Struthio camelus: one gene and its partners. The protein of the gene in region 1 purifies or fractionates together with the protein of each later gene. This does not show direct contact. Links are inferred from orthologs where the notes say so. Each region holds a gene or a part of one and is shown in the gene's direction. Other genes may lie near its edges.

The links.
Region 2: the proteins of CDC27 (region 1) and NEK2 purify together in Homo sapiens (affinity purification with mass spectrometry; 6 studies listed by BioGRID and IntAct, with this or other methods). This does not show direct contact. The link is inferred for Struthio camelus from reciprocal best matches to the Homo sapiens genes CDC27 and NEK2.
Region 3: the proteins of CDC27 (region 1) and UBE2S purify together in Homo sapiens (affinity purification with western blotting; 4 studies listed by BioGRID, with this or other methods). This does not show direct contact. The link is inferred for Struthio camelus from reciprocal best matches to the Homo sapiens genes CDC27 and UBE2S.

The regions. Positions count from the first base shown.
Region 1 is NC_090966.1:4,355,325-4,362,857, forward strand, and holds the start of CDC27 (cell division cycle protein 27 homolog), read left to right. Parts: upstream 1-4,528; 5' UTR 4,529-4,672; coding exon 4,673-4,699; intron 4,700-7,533. Other genes in the region: uncharacterized protein, read left to right, coding at 80-108. UniProt on the Homo sapiens protein: Component of the anaphase promoting complex/cyclosome (APC/C), a cell cycle-regulated E3 ubiquitin ligase that controls progression through mitosis and the G1 phase of the cell cycle.
Region 2 is NC_090944.1:113,862,512-113,870,253, reverse strand, and holds the start of NEK2 (serine/threonine-protein kinase Nek2), read left to right. Parts: upstream 1-4,741; 5' UTR 4,742-6,803; coding exon 6,804-6,980; intron 6,981-7,144; exon of another isoform or gene 7,145-7,196; coding exon 7,197-7,414; intron 7,415-7,742. UniProt on the Homo sapiens protein: Protein kinase which is involved in the control of centrosome separation and bipolar spindle formation in mitotic cells and chromatin condensation in meiotic cells.
Region 3 is NW_027182594.1:68,624-76,230, reverse strand, and holds the start of UBE2S (ubiquitin-conjugating enzyme E2 S), read left to right. Parts: upstream 1-4,606; 5' UTR 4,607-4,813; coding exon 4,814-4,816; intron 4,817-5,210; coding exon 5,211-5,231; intron 5,232-6,575; coding exon 6,576-6,723; intron 6,724-6,951; coding exon 6,952-7,142; intron 7,143-7,607. UniProt on the Homo sapiens protein: Accepts ubiquitin from the E1 complex and catalyzes its covalent attachment to other proteins. Catalyzes 'Lys-11'-linked polyubiquitination.

The DNA.
Region 1 (7,533 bases):
CCCTTCCAGCCCCAGGCTGAGATGCCTGAGGCTTTAGCGCATGCTCTGACATCTCACACGTTTCTCGTTTTCTCCTTAGCTTTTGTCAAGCATATCATGTCTGGCTGAAACAAGGGACTTCAGGTGAGTCGGGCTCTCGCACTGTTTATGCTGAAATTGGTAATACTGGCTATAACTGTTAGGGACAGAAAACCCAAAACCTAACCCTGCAAGTGGAATAATACTACAGTAATAACCCCAGCTCTGAAAGCACGAAATGTTCACGAAAATGAACTGCATTTGTAGCTCGTGCCGTTTGAAATGTGTCCTGACCAGCCCTGTGACTGTCAGTTGTGATGTAGGAAGTGTGGCCAGTCTCTGCTTCAAACGAACGAGGTTTATGTGTTTTAGAGTGATACATTTTCTAATCCTCCTGGAGCTAAGGCGGTCATCAAACAGACACCGCTGGAGCTAAATATTTTAAAACCCGCAGAAATGGATGACTTGATGCTAAGACAACATTAAGAACTGAATAAGGAGCCAATTGTGCCAATACTTAAGAAATATCAAAATTCCTATTAGCATTAACATTAAAAAGAATATCTCAAACACACCATTTATGCTTGTTAACCTTTTTGCATTCCTCTAAGTCTGCATGAGGAAACCAGAGAAACAAGTTTCTTTCAGTATAAACTATGCCTTCAAAATCTAGACAATTTAAAAGAAAATCCAAATTAACAAGAGCTGTTCCAGCTGTTCCCAGTCTCTCCCACCAGTTTCTTCTGGTTTCAGTATCTGTTTCTTAAACATTTTTCCTCTCCTCAGCTGTGTGAAAGAAGGCCGCAAGCAAAAAAAAAAAGAAAAAAAAGAAAGAAAAAGAAAAAAGATCTGACCTTCAGATACTGTTAAATACACAAATTAAACATTTAAAAATATCTTTTCCTCTACAAATCTCTTCAAACATCAGAAGGTTAAAACAGAGGCAGACAGAAGTCTGAACTTTTGAATGTTCAGCACCTTCTTATCTTGCTTTTAATCTATTTCTCTCTGGTTCCTGTTCATCAGCTCAGCAATGTAAGCGTTTAAGTGGCAAATGCTGCTGGGGAGGTTTAAGTCTACATGAAACTATTTGCAGGAAGCACTGATTTTTAAAGGCATGGAAGGACGGCTATTGACATTTTGGGTTCGTCTGAGAAGCAGCTCTGTCATTTCAAAGATTCATTGCATTAAGCCCTCTCATTCTCGTCTCCCAGGTTTTTGGAAGCGTTTGAATCCACTTGAGCAACACAAACAGCGAGATTCCTCTGTCTGTATCCCTTCTTCCCTGGATGGCCTGAGTCTGCAGTGGTGTTTCATGAGCCGCAGCGAGGAGTTTGCCTCCATACTTGTGTGCCTGATCCTCAATATATAAAGGGATACACATCTGACCCTTGGTTTTAAACCTTATTCTTTCAAGTTTTCCCCTGTGACATTTGGCTCATTAAATTTTATTCCCTCCCCTCTTAAGTTATCTGTGTTTTGGCTTTCGACTAGTCAGTGAAACGTTAGACAGAGGAGATCAGGGCCACCAGTGATCAGACGTGGCAAGATGTTCCCTCGAAAAGGGAAACAAGGCTGGTTTTATGACCCCTGTGCTTGAGGCAGGAGTTCAAACTTGGAGGTAACGGTCTTTATTCATCACCCTCAGTGTGGGCCAGGAGCTGGACTGCAGTTTGGGCATGTCTCGCTGCTAGATCTAGGTAGGCTTTGGTAGAGCAAAGAGGGCATGAGGGAGAGGTTGCATCCACAGACCCTCTGTTCATGGGGACTCACCTGCTGTCTAACCTGAAAGCACCTTTTCTTAGCCCAACTAGTATCACTGAAAAAATCAAGGTTTTTGGTACCTGCTGAAGTACCAAGATCTTGAAGCTCTTGAGCTAGTAAAAGATACTACCTCTTCCTTAAAACCAGGCCTTTCTCAGGCATGCAGCCCATCCAACTTGCAGCAACCAGTGTAAAAGCCACAAGTATATTGCTTACGTCGAAAAGTTGCATGTAGAGCAGGAGGGCTTGTGCAATGCAAGCCGGTGGCTCTCTCCTTCTACCTACCTGCAAAAGATCACCATATTCTCCCAGAAGTGGTAAATAATTCATGACAGATAATTCAGCCCTCCTCTCAGCAGAGTGCCTGGGAGTAGATAATGCTTTTCGTTGATTTGTCCTTTATTCAAATGTCCTTGCTCTGAGCCTTATGACTAGAAATTCAAAATATTTTGCTTCAATGGAGTTGACTTCAGTTGCCACTTGCTCAACTCCGTTCAGTGACTGGGTAACAGCTGCTTTTAATTCCCACTGCTGCATACAAATGCTCATAAGCAGCAACATGAGCTGTTTGTAGATGCAAGATTAGCTTTTAGCTTCTGTGTCTGTGGTATTTCTATAGCTTCCATTAGAGGGCATCTGGGCATCTCATGCCTTTAAAGTATTATCTGTGTTTTAACCTGTTAAAGGACTGTGGTGACAGAATGAGAGAGTACACTGTGTTTGCCCTTGCCATCACCTCCATGGCATTTGCGCTGGCAGAGGAACGTGCTGTTACAGATAGGAACCGAGCAGTAGAACCGAGCAGGGGGACCTGCCCCAACTTGCAGAGAAAATCTGTAGCAGAGGCTGGGGGCCCTGCGAGTTGTGATATTCTTGCCCTGGCAAGTCAAGAGGCCGCGCTCTCACTCCTGCATGCAAAGTGTAAGCTTTGCGTTTGAGCCTCCAGCTTCTTTGCAGACTGGAATGACACCGTAAATTAAAACCAAAGAGGTTCTTGCAAAGAGACAGACAGTAAGAGAGCGGCAGGGAAAAGAGCGAGAGAATGAGATAAAACATGAGTGCCGTGAAATCCAGCCTTTGAAGTGCCCTCAGGGATAGAGACAATCACCCATCCCTTTGGGGGACCTGTTCTGTTTCTTTTGGGATAAAGTGGAGCTGATTTATACCCAGACCGGTTGGAATGATGCACTTAGCAGGTGTAGTGGAAACCTACGTCTTTTCATGCCCTGCCACCTCCGTTGGTCGAAATCAGCCCTGCATACAAGTCCTCGCTGTGGGGCGGTGAGGGGCAAAGGGAAGAGGAGGGTGGATTCACACCCTTGACCAGGTTGTTGGTGTAACCTTCACGTGCTTGGCCGTTTGGGCATCCTGACAGGCAGGACACAACTGCTAAGCAAAGCCGTCCTGAGGATGCCAACTGGCAGCCCTGTTTGTCCAGCTGCCCCAGGTACGTTCGCTGCCCCACCACCTGCCTCTGCCACTGAAAAAGCCCTACGAGCTGGCGGTTTTAGTCCCGCGGACATTTATAAAAAGCATCTGCGGACACCTGCGAGCGTCCCCGCACGCAGAAACGGCACGTCAGGGCCAGAGGAACCTGAGTGTCCCAAGACGATAGTCAACGCTGTGCCCTTTTATAGCCCGACGCTTCACTCCGAGCCCAGGGCACTCCAAGGAGAGGTAAAAATAACCCCCCGGCCCAAGGAGAGCCTATGGCCGTATCTCCTCAGCTTGCGATAAGACGGAGACGCACACCAAAGATGGTCTGAGTTTCGGGGGAGTCGGCGCTGTCCCTGTGAAATGAAGAGCCGGACGGAGCCAGCTCTGGCCCGGAGGAGCTATCAGCAGCTCAGGGCAGGGCGGCGAGGCCGAGACGGGGCCGAAGAGGACGCGCTGTGGGCCTTGAACGGAGCCCTAAGCTGCGTGCCCGCGTACGTACACCACCGGCCCCGTCGGCTCGCGCGGCCGAAGGCCATTAGGCTGCACCGGATCGCACCGGCGGCGCCCATGGCCTTGGGCGCCCGACCCCACGGTCAGCCGGGCCTCCATGTTAGGGGGAAGCACTGCTCCGTGACCCATTTTCTCGCTCCTCTCCGGTCAGGGAGCGAAGAACGCCTTGCCTGTGGGTGCCAAGCCGCCTACACCCTGAAAGCAAACACCTGCAGATTTATCGGAGCGACTACAAACTTGTAAATACGCTATTCGGGGCTGCCCGGGCTACAGGCACCTGGGGGAGCCGGTAGCCCGCGGCAGGAGCGCTTCCCCCCTCCGCGGCCCGGGCGGGAACGGCGCTGCCCACCCGCTCTACCGGCAGCTTTTAATTTAATTTAACCCGGCGGGGGCTGCAGGCCTGAGGCAGCAGCCGCCAGGGAGGCTCTGAGGGAAACAACCGAGCGGGTCGTAACCGGATCCTGCCGGGGGGAGAGGGGGGAAGCACCGAGCGGCCCCGCCGCGCCTCAGCGCCGCCAGGCCCCCCCCGCTCCCGGCCGCCTCCCGCCCTCCCTCCCCCCTGCGGCCCCCGCCCCGCCCCGCCGCGCCGCTCGGCAATCTCCGGCCGCGCTCGGGCGGTTCCGCCGGCTCGGGCTCTTCCGCCTCGCCGACGAGCGGGGGCTTTCCCAGCTGTTTTCCGTCAGCGCTCGGCTCTTTCCGCCGCCAGCTTCGGCTATTTCCGCCAGCGCGTTCGGGTGTTTCCGCCGCCAGCTTCGGGCGGACTCGGGCGCTTGGCCGGCCTCGTTCCTTCCCTCCCCGCCGCCTGCCCCGGTAACGGTCGCTGGGAGTTTAAATGAGCAGGGGCCGGGCCGGGCCGCGCCGCCGCCGGGACACGCACTGAGGCGGGGCCGGGGCCGCCGCGCTCCGGGCTCGGCGACGAGGAGGCGGAGGTCGGGGGAGCAGGATGACGGTGCTGCAGGAACCCGTCCAGGTACCGACCCCTGGGCGGCACGGGCTCGGGCTCGCCGCCGCGCTCAGGCCCGAAGGCCCGGCCCGGCCCGGCCTGGCCTAGTGGGGGGAACCGGTCCCGCCGCGGGGGCCTCGCGGCCGCCGGGCCCTCTCCTGCCGCGGGGGATCCCCGTTGCCCTCCTCGGCCCGCTCCCGGCGGGGGCTGCGGGCCCCGGGGCTGCCCCTCTGCCGCGGCCGCCGGCGGTGCGAGCGGGGCCCGGCCCGCAGGGCGCCTCTGCCCTGCCCGTTGGGACCCTCCAGCCGCCGTGGGGCTGCTGGGCTTCCTCTGCCCTCCGGGCGACCCTAGGGACGGGCTTCCCCCGCCCCCAGGGGGTGCTCGGGCCCCTCCGGATCCCCGCCCGGTGTCCCCCCCCCCGCAGGAGGTGTCGGGCGCCTGCAGCGCCGCAGCCAAGTCTGCTTCCAGAAGAGGCCCCTCTGCTTCCCCCCCACCCCCTGGATCCCCCGGGAGACCTGTTGATGCTGCTCTCTCCATCTCGCTTACCTGTCGGCATTTGCTGCCGTTTCCCTTTTATTAAATGCTCACGGTGTGCTTGGCTCTGTATGTGTCGTGCGAATGAAGGACGTGCCTTATTCCCCAGGAGCTGGTATCGTCAGACTGATAGGAGACCTGGAAGAGAAAATAACGTAAATGTCATCGTTTCCCTACCATATTTTAGTCTAATTGCAATTCTCCTGGTGGACTTCCCACCCTTGGTTTAGTCTTCCCATCCAAAACACAGGATTCATAAACTAAAGAAGTTGCTTCCTCTTTCCACCTTTCCTATATGCACATTGCTTCAGCCTTTCTGTAATCTTCCATTAACTGCTCTTCTTTTTCATGCCTCTTTTTCCTTTTGTATTTTGGCTTTTCTAACACTTTTTCCCTTGATAGGTGAAGAACCTCTCGCTGTGTTTTGTTAGTACAGGAATTCTGTACTGTAATGAACAGAGTGAAATCATTGCTTATGGCTCTCCTCCCTTCCTTTAATGAGAAGAAGATCAGGGGGAAGAAAGATTTCTGTGGAAGACCACCTTGCTCTCTTGACCCTGTCCATGCAAAATGGTGGCAGTGATGGCCCTGCTGCTGCAGAGCAGGGGTTTGTGCCCTTGGTGCTGTTGTTCTGTTGGTCTGCTCTGAGAGCAGCAGTCAATGGGGTGCTGGAAATGCTTGCAGCCAGCTGGTTCCTCTTCTGCAGTGGTTGTACTCAAGCTGTTGCGGTGATGCTGGAGCTGGACTGCTGTTTTGCATCAGTTGGGTATTCTAGGAAAACATTTACAATAGAAAAGGAAGAATGTGTATTTTGGAGTGAATGACAGGAAACAATAGTTAATGTTTCCGGTACTGTGCTAATTAGACTAACCAAGTGGAAAATAATCTGTTGTTCTGAGACTTCCCTAGCAGAAAAGCGCAGTCTTATTTTCTCTCAGAAATGTAGAGACCTATCTAATGACATTCTCCATACTTGAGCACTTACCAATATGTTTTGAATATGTTTTGATGGGGCTTTGCTAGATTGAATATATCCATTTTGACTCCATCTACTTTGAAATGCCAAATAATTCTTTGGTCAGTGGTTCTACTACTGTCTGCCTTGCTGCTGTTCTATGCTTACAGCAGTACTAGTAAGTGTGGGATTTATTGGTAGCTGTAGCCTTGGTCCCACTGCTCCTTTCAGTGGCAGGGAAGTAACCAGTGCACCCTCCAAAACGAAGTCAACATTTGAGTTTTCCCCAGGTCCTGACTGTGCTTGAATGAATTTCTGTTCCTAAACATGCTCACTCCTTTTCTGCCCTCCAACAGATTTTTTTTTTTTTTTTTAGTTGCTTGCTTCCCCATTCTGTGCTGGTGACTTGACAGAAGCCTGGCTGCCTTGGTCACCTGTAGTCTTTCTTGGGGATGGATGGGGCAGCGGTGTGGGGACTGGACCGCTATATTACAGTGACTTTCCAAAACAGCTCATATTTATTGTGTTATTGATGTAATGTGTCCAGTGATCAGTCTCAATCTAAATTCATACTGCAAAATGAAGTCTGTTGTACTCCAGCCTTAATGGGAACTGAAAATTACAAGTACTTATCTCTGGTTGACTGTTGTTGTGTGTTTAACAATATTTTTGTAAAAGGTGGTGGTGGTACTTCTTTTTTTTTTTTTTTTGTCCTTCCAGAGATTTCTCCTGTCTAGTTGTCTCTTCTCTCCCAGGCTTGCAAATGTCTACAGGGTTTGTCATTCCAGGAAAAACTGTCATCCTTACAGTCGTAATATGCGAACTGTGGCAGATAAACAATGAAATCTCTGTGTGTATGTTGCCTTGTAAATGTTGGGTCTTAAGTATATGAAGTTCTTGTCCTGAAAAGCTTCCAGTTCACTGGTTAGGCTTCCCCTTACGCACACGTACCCTTAATATGAATAAAAGTGCCAGAGTTTAAGTAGAGAACAGACCCCTACTGTACTTCCTGTTGTGGTCAATTAAAACTCTTCAACTCAAACATAAAGCCATTTATCCCATGTGCTGAGAAGCAGATTGAATGCCTTTTAAAATATTTCTGAAAAACATCCTGAAAACAAATGGTTTTCTTAGACTTTAACTGTTCAAGGTAATCATCTGCTGAGATCCACTTGAGTGATGCTTTAACTCCAAGGCTGTGTTGCTGTTATGGCTGTATACCTGTACTGTTAGTATCTCAGTGTTCAATTATTTAATGGATAGACTTTCCGTAACTAGTAAATGCAGCAAGTGTCACTGAAAGTTCTCTCCTCCCCTCTGCCCCCTCTGAACAAGTCTTAAATTGTGGTAGGAAGTGATTGTTGGGCTTGTT
Region 2 (7,742 bases), on another chromosome or scaffold:
CAGACTGAAGGATGAGAGGACACATGGAGGCACTCTCCAGAACAGACAGGGAGACAGCACTGGGGTTGCTCTACCTCCAGGAGCCTTCCACCCAGCAGAGGTCTTTTAGGCAACTGGGACTTTCAGCAGCCTGGGGCCTGCCACCCACCAGAAGATACTTAGGCAGCCAGCACCTTTTACCCATGGAACAAGTTTCACCAGTTTGAAGGCTTTCATCATCAGCACTGGAGGCTTTCAGGCAGGCACGTCATTCCAATGCTGATGTGTCTTACGGAGGACTTGGAGGAGATCTTCCCCAGGAACAACTGCTGATCTCTAAGACAACCTTTATCAAGTAATTGGCTCAGGAGCAGGAGCTGAGCACTGGTGAACCTCTTTCCATGTTTCTTGATAATCCTTAGCAGTGGGTTCAGGATGTGATATTACAACCAGGCACAGTTCTGAGATAATACTCTAGGAGCGTATGCAAGGATGCCAAGGACTGAGGTTGGTTTAGGATGATGTCTTAGGAACTGGCTGGTCCTAGCTCCAGACTTCACACAGCCATTCGTGATGTATTTAGCCTCTTTAGACAGCTCTGCTCTTTTTATAGGTGTCCTTCCTTTGTGAGACCATGCCATGCACAGACAGTTGAAGCATAGCCACCTGCCAATTGCAGTGAATATATCCCTATTAGTATTTTTACTTAAGCACTCTGAACGCCTTCCAGTTACTGATTGTGTAGTCCAGCCTTTCCAGGAAAGCCTGACAATAGATATTTTTTTTATTTGGATACAAAACCACCCTGTGCTGCAGTGACCCTTTTGACTTATTTTTTCCTGTGCTTTGTCATAGGCCTAGGGTAAATAATGCTACTGAACAGGCAATCCCCAGGATGGTGATATCAGCCCTGAATAGAGATCTTTCATGCAGTAGGTCCTGCATGAACCTGGTCCCAGATATTTCCAGGTAACTTTTGATATTTTCTACATGGTTGCATTTACCATGGGTCAGGATAATCCTCTCAGCTAAAATTATGTGCCTTTTCCTGTAACCTATTTGATTCATCTTCCAAAAATTAGTTCATGTTATGCCTTTCTCCATTAGTCTAAAGAGCCTGTAAGTACCAGGTATTTTCTCCACATGAAAGCACTTACTCACTGTAATCACCTGACTACATTTCACCTGACCTGATTTCAGTTTGGTTTTAGAATAATAGATAACATCTTAAAAAAACAGGTAGCTCAGTAAGCAGAGGAGCTAATGAAGCTTGTTTTCCTTTGGATTTGTAGTGCATGGTTAGATTCTCTGGTGTCTAGAGTGCACACATTAGTCAAAGATTTTCCTGCAACTGCATCAACATTAATGTGAGTCCATCCATAAGGATAATAATAATCCATGTGGATTCTCTGCTCTAATAACATAGTTGAACTCTTTAGGATCTTCCTTCTCTATCTGCTCAGTTATATTTTTGGAACGTGTAGGAAGGTAATTATTTTTAGGAGTAAGTTAATGGGGGAGGGATGGAGGGCTAGTAGAAACATACTTGTGATATGGTCACTTAAGTTCCATTTCCATAGGGAGCTAGACAAAAAAATCAGTTCTATGTGAAATAAAAACTGTTTGTTAAGTTCTAGGCAACTGGCATGTTCTCAATGGAAAATACTATTCCAGACGGTCACATTTGGACTGTCTTGTTTTTAAATTCTTTTTTTGGTATCATCATTGGGAAACTGGCATACCAGGATCCCTGCTAAGGCAATTCGAGTTACAGGTGCACAGCAGCTCCAAAATTCAAGTCTTTCCTGTGTAAAATCAAGCAAACAGTTTCTTGTAATTTGAGTTTAGGGACACCAAGATAGGGGAAAATCTACTATTCTTATGGGTGGCATGTATCCATAGTCACGGCTGTTAGAGAATTAATGAGTGCTGTGGTAATGAAAATGCCTGTGACAATAACACTGTATGCAGATCTGGTGAAAGCTGTACCTCAATATATTTGAAGAGACTGTAAGTAAAAAAAAATTCATGGAATAATATTTGAGATAAACAATTCTACAAAAGAAATCCCTAAATTTTTGTTTGTTTGTTTTTTGTTTTTAAACTGGACAGTTGAGGCCAGCAATATATTTATCTATTGTATTGTCTAATGCATCCTTTAGTCAAATATTTTGAGGTGTACTACCTATAAGCTTCACCGTGGAGGGTAAGTACATTACTTCCCCTTTAAAAGAGGGATAATTGAGGCACAGAGACCGAACTGTCTGTTTTCATGGACTGAGTTATAAGACAGCCCAGAAGGGAAATCACAAATTGTTATACTACATTTCTTACTTAGGGACAACAGCAGTTCTTTAGCTGTTGGTGAATTTAGGATTTAAGATTACTCAGGAATTTGACTTTTGAAGTTCTTTACACCTCAAAAAATGAGTATCTTAATCAGTTTAAAAAGCACCCTTAAAGATCAATTCAAACACCTTCTGTTCATAAGGTAAATAATATTCATTTTAAAAATTAGCAAATAAGTGAAGACATATATAGTAGATAGGGCTGTTAGTTTCACTCTAAGATAGAGAACTAAGTAATGACACACTTTCAAAATATTCAGCCAGGTATTTAAATATTCAGTTATAGAATACAAGCAATGGGTAGAGCAAATCTGGATTCAGTAAAATTTGTATGTTCCCCTCTCTGAATGCAAAAGTATGTCTTCTTTACTCTCCTCGGTCTCCTCCTCATTAATTCCCATGCAGTTAGCTCTTCTTTCAGTACTTGCAAAAACTTCCACTGCTGCCGCATTTGTTTTCACTCATGTGTTTTTTATTTTCCTAATTTTTCTAGTTTGTATTGGAAAACCATAAAGGTACAGCTGCTGCAACAAACTCCCCTTTTGAAGCTTGCCTGCTGCACGCATTTCTTTTGGAGTCTGAGATAGCTCTGAGTCCTAACACTTAAAAAAAAAAAAAAAAGAAAAGTATAGTATTTTTAATCACTATAATTACTGCTTCTGAATTTTGTTCCTTAGCTGTCCTGTCCACAGCTGTGTTGTGCAGAATTTCTTCAATGAACATGTTCTTGTTTCCTCCCAAACCAGCTCAGGAAAAATACTAGGAAATTTGACTCTCTGATACTTTTTTTCTGACATTTAATAACATGCCATGGATAAGTCCCTCGGCATTTTAGACTGTTCTTCTCATCTTTCATATGTGAGTGCGTTCAATGTGGATGTCTGGCCCAGATATCAAAATCAATATTCCTTCTGATTATATCTCAAATTTTCTGATTCTAGATACTGTAAACTGCAGTATCCCACAAACCCAGAGAACATTAGTCAAGAGTTTGGAAAGAAGTCTTGCATTCTGGAATTCAGGCCTAAAAGAAACAAAGTGACTGTTCTGAACTTTGTTTCACCAGATTAATTTATTCTACAATACAAGGTTTTTGTTTGTTTGTTTTTTAAATCCACAACCACCATGCTTCATTAATCTCTGCTTAACTAATGATCTGTTTAAATTCAGAAAGTTTGCCACACTGGGGATGTGTCTGAAGGAGGAGAGTACCGCTGTCTAATATCCCAGTATTTGTGTGTGTTTGTTAATCCTGAGACGTGAATTTTTACAACAAAGTCATCAACTAGAAAAACAGAGTTAAAGATGTTATGTCATCTATGTACAATGAACCTGGGTAAATGCAAGATTTCTGTGCACAAGAGCAAAAGAAAAAATGTAAGAAAAAAACAGAATATCCATAACTACGTGTCAGGACTTCAAATCCAATTTAATATTAAAAAAACAAAATACTCACGTGGAGAAGATGAACTAAAATAAAACACTGATGTCTCAATCATCCCAATATTTATAATTTCTCTTCTTGTCACTCAAAGGACTTATTAAGATCTTTCAGGTACTCAATTCCTCCTTTTTGGCTGGAAGACTCGGCACCTTTCTGAGGTCCAGAAACATGATTTTACATGTCTATCACCTCTTTGAAGAGACAAGACAGGATTTTCCTCAGATATTTTTCTAGTTATTTTTATAAAGTGTATTATTGTTCACTATAATCCTCTATGTTTACTTTCAGTACTTCCTACTGAGCTTCTTTTCTCTTCCTGAACATGTACTTCTAGGTAATTTTTTTTGCTTCATTACCAGAAAAGTTCTCAGAAACGTAGTTTAATTTGCTATAGTATTTTAAAAAACTAGGCTGCTATTAAATATTATCTATATAGATATACTTGGCTGGACTCCCACAGCAAAGTGTTAGGCATTTATTGTTAGTTATTTCCATGCACAAAAATTAAAATATTTATAAGAAATAGTGCATTGATCTTACTATTTATCTTCAGCATTTAATATTTTATCAAATAACTATGACCTGGAATAAGAGAAAAGGAACCTTATGGCACAAAAACTGACAAACTTTGGCAGAAAGTAACAGAAGAATCTTAGGTTTTTGTTAAGTTTTGGAAAATGATTAATGAAATTTGATGAGAAAAAGCAGAATCAAACATTAGAAACAACACTAAAAATGGATTATTGAGAACTATTTGGCAGCTTTCAAAGACCTGAAGTCAGCACGTGCACTTTCAAGACTAGAAACTTGAGTTGCTTCTAGACTAGACATCAGAGATTAAAAATACAGCATGTGACAAGAGAGGCCTCCATTTAAACTTCAAATATATACTTGGAAACATTGGACTCTTTGGGTTCTCTCATATGACCAGGGTGGAAATCAGACAGAAGGAAAGAAAACAGGGTACCTCCTGAAATTTTTATTGATTGCTTTTAGAAAAAGAATTTTTCTCAAATTACCCAACTCTTAAAATAAAACAAGTGTAATCAGAACTAAAATTACTATGCTGCTGGTCTTTGGAGCATGACATTTTGACATTTCTCTGATTCAAACTTACATTCCTAAAGAAAACTTCAAGATAGCCCCTAGAGCAAACACAGTATTCAAAACCTACTCTATTTCTTTTGAAATACAAATAGAAAGACTCCCTTTCATAACAGTGGGAACGTGTCATGACCTTTTGCTTGAAAGTACAGAAGTTTGAAACTGAGACATATCTGAAATCAGAAATGAAGCTTACAGCCTGCCTAATAATACAGTATTTTTTGTTATTCTTATTGCATAATGTCATATTTTATTTATGATGCTAATGATGAGGATCTTCTTCTTAAGGTAATTAAAATCAGACTTAAAATGAGTCATTCAGAGCACCCTGTTACTCATTAACAAAGTTAAAATGTTTTTACACTGTATAATTCATTTGCTCATTTTTTCTGTAATGAACAAACATTATCTGTGAATAGAAAGCTATAGGATCTTTATAATGGATAACAGGAGCTTTTGTGCCTCTTGCTGGTGAAAGTAATGGCTTAGATTTTTCTGAAGGCTAATAATATAAGAATATTTTATAAATATTCAGTAACACCATGACCCCCTAAGCCCCTCAAACCCTTTTGAAACAAAATGGGGAAATGATTAATGGGACCATGTGTAGATGCGATATGAGATATTACTCTGTCCTCCGGCCATGTTCTGAAAATCTCTCACGTTGCTGAAAGCTTGAGAACAACTCCCTTTTGTGCCTGATCCAGAAATTATACTGGTGAGTTATAATACTCTGCTGAAGAACTAGGAGTCGCTGCCTCAAGCACAGGCACGTCCACAAGGAGAGGGATTAAGCAGAACTGAAACCAGAACTCCGCTCCAGTATCACTCCAAAATTACCCTAAATAATGCTAGAAAATACATTACATACCTTTAAAAATATCCCCATAATGTTATCTAATATATTAAAACTACTGACTCATCTTTTGGAATCGGAGGCCTATATTCCCGTTTTAAAAGGATTACATTGTAAGTTATTGATTTATTAGGCTTCTTTTCTAAAGCTATCTGTATACAGTATAATAGTAAAGCTGGTATGACTTTTGAAAATAATTTTATTGAAGAATTTCTTGAAGAATCATGAAGAATTTTCCTCATTGGTTTAAAGGAATGTTTCAGAAACAAATTTTTATTATTTTAAGCACTTTCAGTTTGCTAATGCTTGTTAATATTAAGAAAACCCTCCATTAAGCTCTTCCAATTTTCTGACCAGCATCTGCTCAACAGCTACATTTATTTTAGAAAAGGGGAGAACAGTAATTTATTGTTTTTCCTGGAAGACTGTCTCTTTTCCTGGCTCGCTACGAATATCTTTGTTGTTGTTGTTGTTGTTTTAACCGCTACACCCGTTATGTTTATGGCTTATCCGAGCGCCCCACGCGTTGATCGCTTCCTGTTCCAGCAGCCCCCTGTGCCGGCACTGGGGGGCGAGAGGAAGGCCAGGCGCCGTCCCCATCCAGCCGGGGGGGGGGGGGGGGCGCTGGGCCTTCGCCGGAGAGGCTCGCCAGCGCTTACCACCCATTTGAGCCGAAGGGTTTGCCCAGCGGCAGCGGCCGGGATTGCTTCCGTCGGACTACCTCCGCGAGAGGAAGTTACCGAGCGAGGGGGAGCTCCGGCGGCCGCCGCGTCCCTCAGCGGGCCTGACGGGAAGCGCGGATACCCGCGGCGCGCCTCGCTCTCCGAAGCCTACCGGGAGAGGGCCCTCCCGTCCCCCCGGCCCGGCAGAGCACCGCCGCTGCCGCCCCCCGGGAGGGTGGTTGGGGGGGGGGGGGGGGGAAGGGAGAGCGGCGGGCAGGCGGCAGCTCTCGCGATGGCTCCCTGACGCCGCGGTGCGGCCGTTGTAACGGCCGTTACCTGGCGGGCGTTGTTTACGGCGGGGCAGCCAATGGGAAGGCGGGTCGCGTGGGCGGGGCTGGGAGGCCCGGCCAATGGGCGGGAGGGGCGGCGCGTTTAAACGCGGCAGGTGCCGAGGCCCGGCTCGGCTCGGCGGGGGCCGCGTCTGCGCCGTCATGCCCAGCCGCCCCGAGGACTACGAGGTGCTGCTCACCATCGGCGCCGGCTCCTACGGCAAGTGCCGCAAGGTGCGCCGCAAGGCTGACGGCAAGGTGAGGCGGGGGGGGGGGGGGCAAGGGTGAGGGGCTGTGCCGCTCCTCGCATCGCGCCTCGCCCTGGCGGGCCGGTGGTGCTGCGCATGCGCGGCCTCCCGGCGGCTCTTCGGCGTAAGCGAGCGGCTTTAACAGTCCTCCCCCTGCTCTGTTTCGTGTGTCAGTCTCTTTGAATTTCCCCCCTTCCTTCTTCCCTTCCTTCCCCCCCCCCCCAAGGTCTTAGTTTGGAAGGAGCTCGACTACGGCTCCATGACAGAGGCAGAGAAGCAGATGCTTGTTTCGGAAGTGAATTTGCTCCGTGAGCTGAAGCACCCGAACATCGTCCGCTATTACGATCGCATCATCGACCGGAGCAGCACGACCCTGTACATCGTGATGGAGTACTGTGACGGGGGTGACCTGGCCAGCCTCATCGCACGGTGCACGAAGGAAAGGTACGTGAGAGCCCGCTGTGACAGCCCTAGAGTCTCTAGCGCAAAGTATCTCGGGTGATGAAAAGAACAAGCCCGAAAGGGGGGGGTTGCATCCCTTAATAGCCCCCTAACATGTTCAAATCTAATCTCTTGAATGTAGCAACTTTTCTGAAATGTGAAGGGGTTGTACAAAATAGCTATGCTGGTGGGAACTGTGCTGGAGGATGCCACTAGTGATAGGATTGCTCTTTCTCTGTATCCAAAGAGTAAAGAACATTGACCCTTTCTGAGGCAGAAGGTGGTGAAGGGATTTGGGGTACTGTGCTGTGCATGACTGGGAGAACTTTAA
Region 3 (7,607 bases), on another chromosome or scaffold:
AACACGGCACCGTGCGACATGGCTCAGTGCAACATGGCACCACGCGACATGGCTCAGTGCAACACGGCACCGTGCAACATGGCACCGTGCAACATGGCACCATGCAACATGGCTCAGTGCAACACGGCACCGTGCGACATGGCACCGTGCAACATGGCACCACGCGACATGGCTCAGTGCAACACGGCACCGTGCGACACGGCACCGTGCAACATGGCACCCACGCGACATGGCTCAGTGCAACACGGCACCGTGCAACATGGCACCGCGCGACATGGCACCGCGCGACATGGCTCAGTGCAACACGGCACCGTGCGACACGGCACCGTGCAACATGGCACCACGCGACATGGCTCAGTGCAACACGGCACCGTGCAACATGGCACCGCGCGACATGGCACCACGCGACATGGCTCAGTGCAACACGGCACCCGCGCGACACGGCACCGCGGGACATGGCTCAGTGCAACACGGCACCGTGCAACATGGCACCGCGCGACATGGCACCGCGCGACATGGCTCAGTGCAACACGGCACCGTGCAACATGGCACCGCGCGACATGGCACTGTGCAACACAGCATCGTGCAACACGGCACCGCGTGGTGCGACACCGCTTGGTGCAACACGGCACCGCGCGACACGGCTCAGGACTGTGCACCACGGCGCTGCACAGCACCGCACGGCGCAACACAGGACTGTGCGACACGGCAGGGTGCGACACGGCTGGGCACCGTGCAACACGGCACCGCACGGCACCGCACGGCACGACACGGCGCGGCTCGGTGCGGCGCAACGCGGCGCGGTGCAGCACGACACGGCTCGGCACGGCACAACACGGCTCGACACGGCACAACACGGCTCGGCACGGCGCGGTGCAGCACGACACGGCGCGGTGCAGCACGACACGGCTCGACACGGCACAACACGGCTCGGCACGGCGCGGTGCAGCACGACACGGCTCGACACGGCACAACACGGCTTGACATGGCACAACACGGCTCGGCACGGCGCGGTGCAGCACGACACGGCTCGACACGGCACAACACGGCTCGACACGGCACAACACGGCTCGGCACGGCGCGGTGCAGCACGACACGGCTCGGCACGGCACAACACGGCACAACACGGCTCGGCACGGCACAACACGGCTTGACATGGTTCGGTGCAGCACGACACGGCTTGGTGCAGCACGACACGGCTCGACACGGCACAACACGGCTCGACACGGCACAACACGGCTCGGCACGGCGCGGTGCAGCTCTGGACTCGGCCAGCTAATGACATCACAGCCCGGGGCTCGGCGGCTGATGATGTCATAGCACCCAGCTCGGCAGCTGGTGACGTCACAGCCCGGGGCTCGGCGGCTGATGATGTCATAGCATCCAGCTCGGCAGCTGGTGACGTCACAGCCCGGGGCTCGGCGAATGACGGTGTCACCTCTGCCCTGGGCGGCTGATGACGTCGCAGCCTGGGGTTCAGCAGCTGATGACGTCACAGCACTCAGCTCTGCAGCGCACGACGTCACAGCCTGGGGCTGACGGTGTCACCTCTGCACTCGGTGGCCAGCGGTGTCACAGCCTCGGGCTCAGCGGCTGATGACATCACAGCCTCGGGCTCGGCGGGTGATGACGTCACAGCCTGGTGCTCGGTGGCCGACGACGTCGCGGCCGCGGGCTTGGCGGTGATGACGTCAGCCTCGGCCTCTGCGGCTGGTGACGTCACAGCCCCGGAGGCGGCAGCAGCTGGCGCCGTCGCCCTGTTCGACTCGCCGCCCGACGACGTCACAGCGTCGGACTCGCCGTCCCGTGATGTCACAGCGTCGGACCTGCCGTCCGATGATGTCACAGCAGCCCGCGGCCTTCCCCCGGGCTCGCGATGATGTCAGAGGCGCCCGGGGCGCCCGGCGCCTCCCCCGGCCTTCGCCGCTTCTCGATGATGTCAAGCCCGCGGGGGCCGCGACTCCCGATGATGTCAGCACTGCGGACTCCCGTCGCCCCCCGATGACGTCACGGTCGGGGCGGCGCCGTCGCCGACCGATGACGCCCGGCGCGGCCGCGGGCGTTGCTGACGTCGGTGACGTCACAGCCGCGGGGGTTCCCCTCCCCCCGGTGATGATGTCACAGGGCGGAGGCGCCCGCCTCACCATGATGTCACTGCCAAGACTCCGCCTCCCGTGGGGGTGGGCGGAGCCCTTTTTGATGATGTCACCTCTCTTCGCTGATGTCACCGGAGAGAGCACACCCCTTTTTAACTCCCCCTTTCCCAGTGATGTCACAGCCTCCTCCCCCGTGACATCACAGCCGTGCTTCGATGATGTCATCGCCGGCGTTCGGGGGGCCCCTCCCCTTGTACATATCTGTCCCAGTGAGTTTGTCAGGTCTCAGCCCCCCCCCCCGGCCGAACCAAGGGCTACCCCCCCCCGGGGGCCCCGGCACACGCGTGTGCACACGTGTCCCACGCGGGAGCAGCCACGGGGCGCTCGCACACGCGTGTGCCCCCCCCGTGACCTCCGGGGCCGCCCCGTCCCCACCGAATCGAAGCCATAGAAAAGGGGGGGCCCCAAAAGCGGAGCCGTCGCCGGGGGGGGGCTGCGTGTGCCGCGGGCGCACACGCGTGCCGGCGCATGTCCGTGGCATTGCACACGCATGGGGGGGGTGTCACATGTTCCCCCCCCCGGCGCCCCACGTGTCCCTCCCTGGGGCCCATGTGCCTTAGCGTCCCCCCCCCCCGGACAGGGGGGACACGACGGGGCCCGGGCGGGGGCGGCAGCACACGCGTGTGCGTGTTCTCCCCCCCCGCGACACGTGTTTGCACGCGGCGGGGGGACGTGACACGTGTGCACACGCGTGTCCCTCTCGCGCACACGCGTGTGGAGCCCCCCCCCCCCCAGCTCGAGGGTGTTTTTAAGCCCGATTTTAAGCAAAAAACCTGGTGGCCTGATGGGGGGGGGCCGGGGCGCCCCGAGGGCGGGAGGGATTTTGGGGAATAAACAGACGTTTCCTGGCCGGGGACTCGGCTGGATTCAGATTGGGGGGGGGCCGTGGGGGGTGGTTTGGGGGGGCCCAGTTTCGGGGGTCCCTGGGACTGGGGGGGCTGGTTTGGGGGGGTCCCAGATTGGGGAGGGTCCCATGGGGGCTGGTTTGGGGGTCCCAGTTTGGGGGGTCCCATAAGGGGGGGTGGTTTGGGGGTCCCAGTTTGGGGTGTCCCAGTTTGAGGGGGCTGGTTTGGGGGGGTCCCAATTTGGGGGGGTCCCATGGGGAGGTGGTTTAGGGGGGTCCCAGTTTGGGGGTCCCATGGGACTGGGGGGCCTGGCTTGGGGGGTCCCAGTTTGGGGGGGTCTCATGGGAGGGGCTGATTGGGGGGGTCCCATATTGGGGGGGTCCCATAGGGGGGTGGTTTGGGGGTCCCAGTTTGGGGGGGTCCCATAAGGGGGGGTGGTTTGGGGGCCCCAGTTTGGGGTGTCCCAGTTTGAGGGGGCTGGTTTGGGGGGGTCCCAATTTGGGGGGGTCCCATGGGGAGGTGGTTTAGGGGGGTCCCAGTTTGGGGGTCCCATGGGACTGGGGGGGCTGGTTTGGGGGGGTCCCAGTTTGGGGGTCCCATGGGACTGGGGGGGGTTGGCTTGGGGGGTCCCAGTTTGGGGGGGTCTCATGGGAGGGGCTGATTGGGGGGGTCCTAGATTGGGGGGGTCCCATGAGGGGGGGCTGGTTTAGCAGTCCCAGTTTGGGGGTCCCATGGGACTGGGGGGGCTGGTTTGGGGGGGTCCCAGTTTGGGGGTCCCATGGGACTGGGGGGGGCTGGCTTGGGGGGTCCCAGTTTGGGGGGGGTCTCATGGGAGGGGCTGATTGGGGGGGGTCCCAGATTGGGGGGGGGTCCCATGAGGGGGGGGCTGGTTTAGCGGTCCCAGTTTGGGGGTCCCATGGGACTGGGGGGGCTGGTTTGGGGGGTCCCAGTTTGGGGGTCCCAGATTGGGGGGGGGTCCCAGATTGAGGGGGGTCCCATGGGGCTGCGGTGCGTTGGGGGAGGACATCCCCCCCCCGGACGAAGCTTTCCCATGAGCCCCCGCGACAGCCCTTATTTACATACATTAATAGGAATGAGGCCGTTCCTCACGCCTTCCTCGCTGATTGGCTGCACCGGCTGCCGCTCAGTGACGCAACCGCCCCCTCCCGCCAGCGGAGGAAGTCCCGCCCCGCCGGTCAAGCCCTTCCCTCCCTCCCGCCTCCCCTCCCACCGCCCCGCGCGGCCTCTCCCGCCTCCCATTGGCGGAGCCGCCTGCCAATCGGCCGTTTCAAACGCTCCCGCCCCGCCCCTGCCCGCCGACCGTTACGGCGTCAACAACCGCCGCTTCCCGCCCCGCCCCTTCCGCCTCGCGACGTTCGTATTCCGAACCCACCAATCAGCGCCCAGCGCCCGCCCCTCCTCCCTCTTCTCCCATTGGCCCGCGCCCGCCCTTGACACCGGTAGCCCAGCTCCACCCCCAACCGCGGCGAAGGGGCGGGACCGAGCGGCCGCGCTCCGCCGGCGCTGATTGGCGCGGGGTGCGGGAGGGGGCGGGTCCGGCGGGGCCAAGAGGCTATAAAGGGCGGCGCAGAGCACGCGCCGCGCTCAGTGCGACGGGTGGGCGGCGGCGGCCGGAGCGGCGGGAGCGGGCGGCGGCGGCGGCGCCGCGGATCGGCGGGCACCTGCCGCTCTCCGGTGGGGAGAGGGGGGCCCTGCTGCGGACCCTGCCTCTCCCCACCCCCCCGGCCACCCGGCGAGGCCCCCCCGGGGCAGGGGGGGGGGCCCTGAGCGGCCTCCACCGGGCCTAGCGCCATGGTGAGTGCTCCCCGGACGCCTGGGCCCCTTGCGTGCACTTTTTTTTTTGGGGGGGGGGGGACACTTTGAGCTGGGCAGGGTTTGGGGGCAAGAGGGGCACCACCCCCCCCCAACTGCCTCCCCCTTCCCCCCCAGGCCTGTTTCCCCTCAAGCTGACTGGGGGAGGGGGGGGGGACATGGCCCCTTCTCCCCCCCCCCCAAACGTGGGTCTGTCGGGCCCAGCCAGGAGGGGGCTGAAACCAGCCCCGAGAGGGGCAACAGCCTGAAACTTGCTACCTTTGGGCCTGTTTAATTTGAGGGGGGGGGTTAAATGCAGCCCCAGGGGGTGTCCCCCCCCCCCCACGAGCTGTGGTGCAGCAATGGGTCGTTTCATCCCTTTTTCCTTCCCTTGCAGGAGGCTCGAGGTGCCTGGCAGGTGAGTGTGAAACCGGAGCGGCTTTAGGGTCTGGCACCCCCCCCCCCACTCACCCCAATTCTGCCCCCCCCCCCCCAGCAGGTGCCCCAGGGACTGGTCTGGGGGAGCCCTCGGCCGCGGGGCAGCGCCAAACCTCCAGGCGCCGCCGTCCCGCTGCGGGACGGGAAAGTTTGAGCGCGCCGAGTTGCTCCCTTGGGCCGGACGAGGGAAAATAGCGGCTTTTTTTTTTTTGGGGGGGGGAAATAAATAAATAAAAAGGGGGGGGTCGCATGAGGCTCCTCCGCAGGTGGGGAGCGGCCAAACCTCCGTCGCTTCCCCCTTTTCCGGCTGGTCTGGGGGGGTCCGAAGCCCTCCCCGGTCGGGGCCTGCTCTCGCTCCCGGTTTGGCAGGCCGGGGCCGGGGGGAAGGAGGTGCCGGAAGCGACCTGCCCTCGCGCGAGGCCTTCGCTCCTGACAAACATATTTGCTCCCGCCGCCAAGTAAAAGCACGTCCGTCCGTCCCCCCCCCACCGCCACCTCCGTCCCCCCCCCCCGCCGCCGCCGTCCCCTCCAACCCGCTGCGCAGCGGGTCGGGCGAAAAGGCGTCCAAACGCAGGGCGAGAGCGGCCGAGCGGCCGCCTAGGCCTCGGGGAGAGTCCGCTAAATCAACAATAAGTCCGGGAAAAGGGGCCGCGGCGGCTGCGCTGGGGGCTGCGGGGAGGGGGGGGCTCGCTACCAGCTGGTGGGGGGGGGGGGGGAGACGATTTGGCAGCACGGTGGGGGGATAAGTTGGCGTCGCTGCCCGAATCGTCTTTCGGCAGCTCCTTCCCTGCGCGTCTTCGGGGGGTGCTGAGGGCCGGGTGGCTCTTGGGGGCCTCGGGGCGGAAAGCGGAGGTGGGGGGGGGGGGGATGTTTTTGGCCTTCGGGGAGACCGGCTCCGTTCTCGGCGCTCCTGGTCTCTTCCCCGGCGCGCCGAGGCCTTGTTGGCCTTCTCGGACGTTTCGTCTCGAATCCGGGGCCGTTTCTAGGTGTTTTGGGGGGGGGGGGGGGCTGCTAACGATGCCCCCGGCAGCACCCGCTGCCCAAACTTTTGCCGGCCGGGGCTGGCGCATGGGACGCGCTCGGAGATTCGTTCCCTAGGCGGCTGCCTCCCCCCCCCCCCCCCCCCCCCAAAAAAAAATACCCCGCGTCCGGAGGGGTGGAGCACGAGGCGGCCGAAGAGCCTCTGGGATTTCTGGCGTGGAGCGAGTTGGCCAGTCTCAGCTCGGGAGGCAGCTTGGCCCTGGGGGTCCCTCCGACTTTTGCAGAGATCGGTCCGTGCCGGGGGGGTCTCTGACGCCTCTTCCCCCCCCCCCCCCCTTCCCAGAACTCCAACGTGGAGAACCTGCCGCCCCACATCCTGCGGCTGGTCTACAAGGAGGTGTCGATGCTGACGTCCGACCCGCCCGACGGCATCAAGCTCTTCCCCAACGAGGAGGACATCACCGACGTGCAGGTCACCATCGAAGGCCCCGGTGAGACGGGGAGGGGGGAGGCCCGGGGTTCCCCCCCCCCTTCCCCCCAGCGTGGGGCTGGCGGGGGTCCCTGTCCCCACAGCAACCTCTGTCCTGGGGACAGTGTCCCCCCCCGCCATGCGGACGGGACCCCCCCCCCCGACCAAGCCGAGCGGGAGGGGAGCGCACGGCGCGGGGGGCTCCGGACCGGCTCTCACCCCCTTTCCCCTCTCTCCCCCCCCCCCCCAGAAGGCACCCCCTACGCGGGGGGCGTTTTCCGCATGAAGCTGGTGCTGGGCAAGGAGTTCCCGGCGGCTCCCCCCAAGGGCTATTTCCTCACCAAGATCTTCCACCCCAACGTGGGCCCCAGCGGCGAGATCTGCGTCAACGTCCTCAAGCGCGACTGGAAGGCCGAGCTGGGCATCCGGCACGTGCTGCTGGTGAGCGGGGGGCCCGCCGCGGCTGGGGGGGGACGCGCACACACTGGTGGGGGGGGAAAGAGTGGGGGGGGGGGGCTGCCCCACGTGGTCAGGCTGGGCCCTGGGGTGCCCCACTGAGCCCAGGGAGCTGGGGCACCCTGCCAACCCCCCCCCCCCAAGGGTGCCCTGCCCTGGGCCTTGCATCCCCCCCAGCTGCCCCCACCTGGGGTTGGGGGACATGGGGGTGATGTTAGGGGAGTCCCGGGGCAAATGCGGACTTGGGGGTGACATTAGGGGTGTCCTGGGGCAGACTGGGAGATTTGGGGGTGACATTGGGGGTGTCCCGGGGCAGACTGGGGGACATGGGAGTGACGTTAGGGGTGTCCTGGGGCAGACTGGGAGGTTTGGGGGTGACAGGGATGTCCTGGGGCAGACTGGGGGACTTGGGGGTGACATTAGGGATGTCCTGGGGCAAACTGGGGGAAC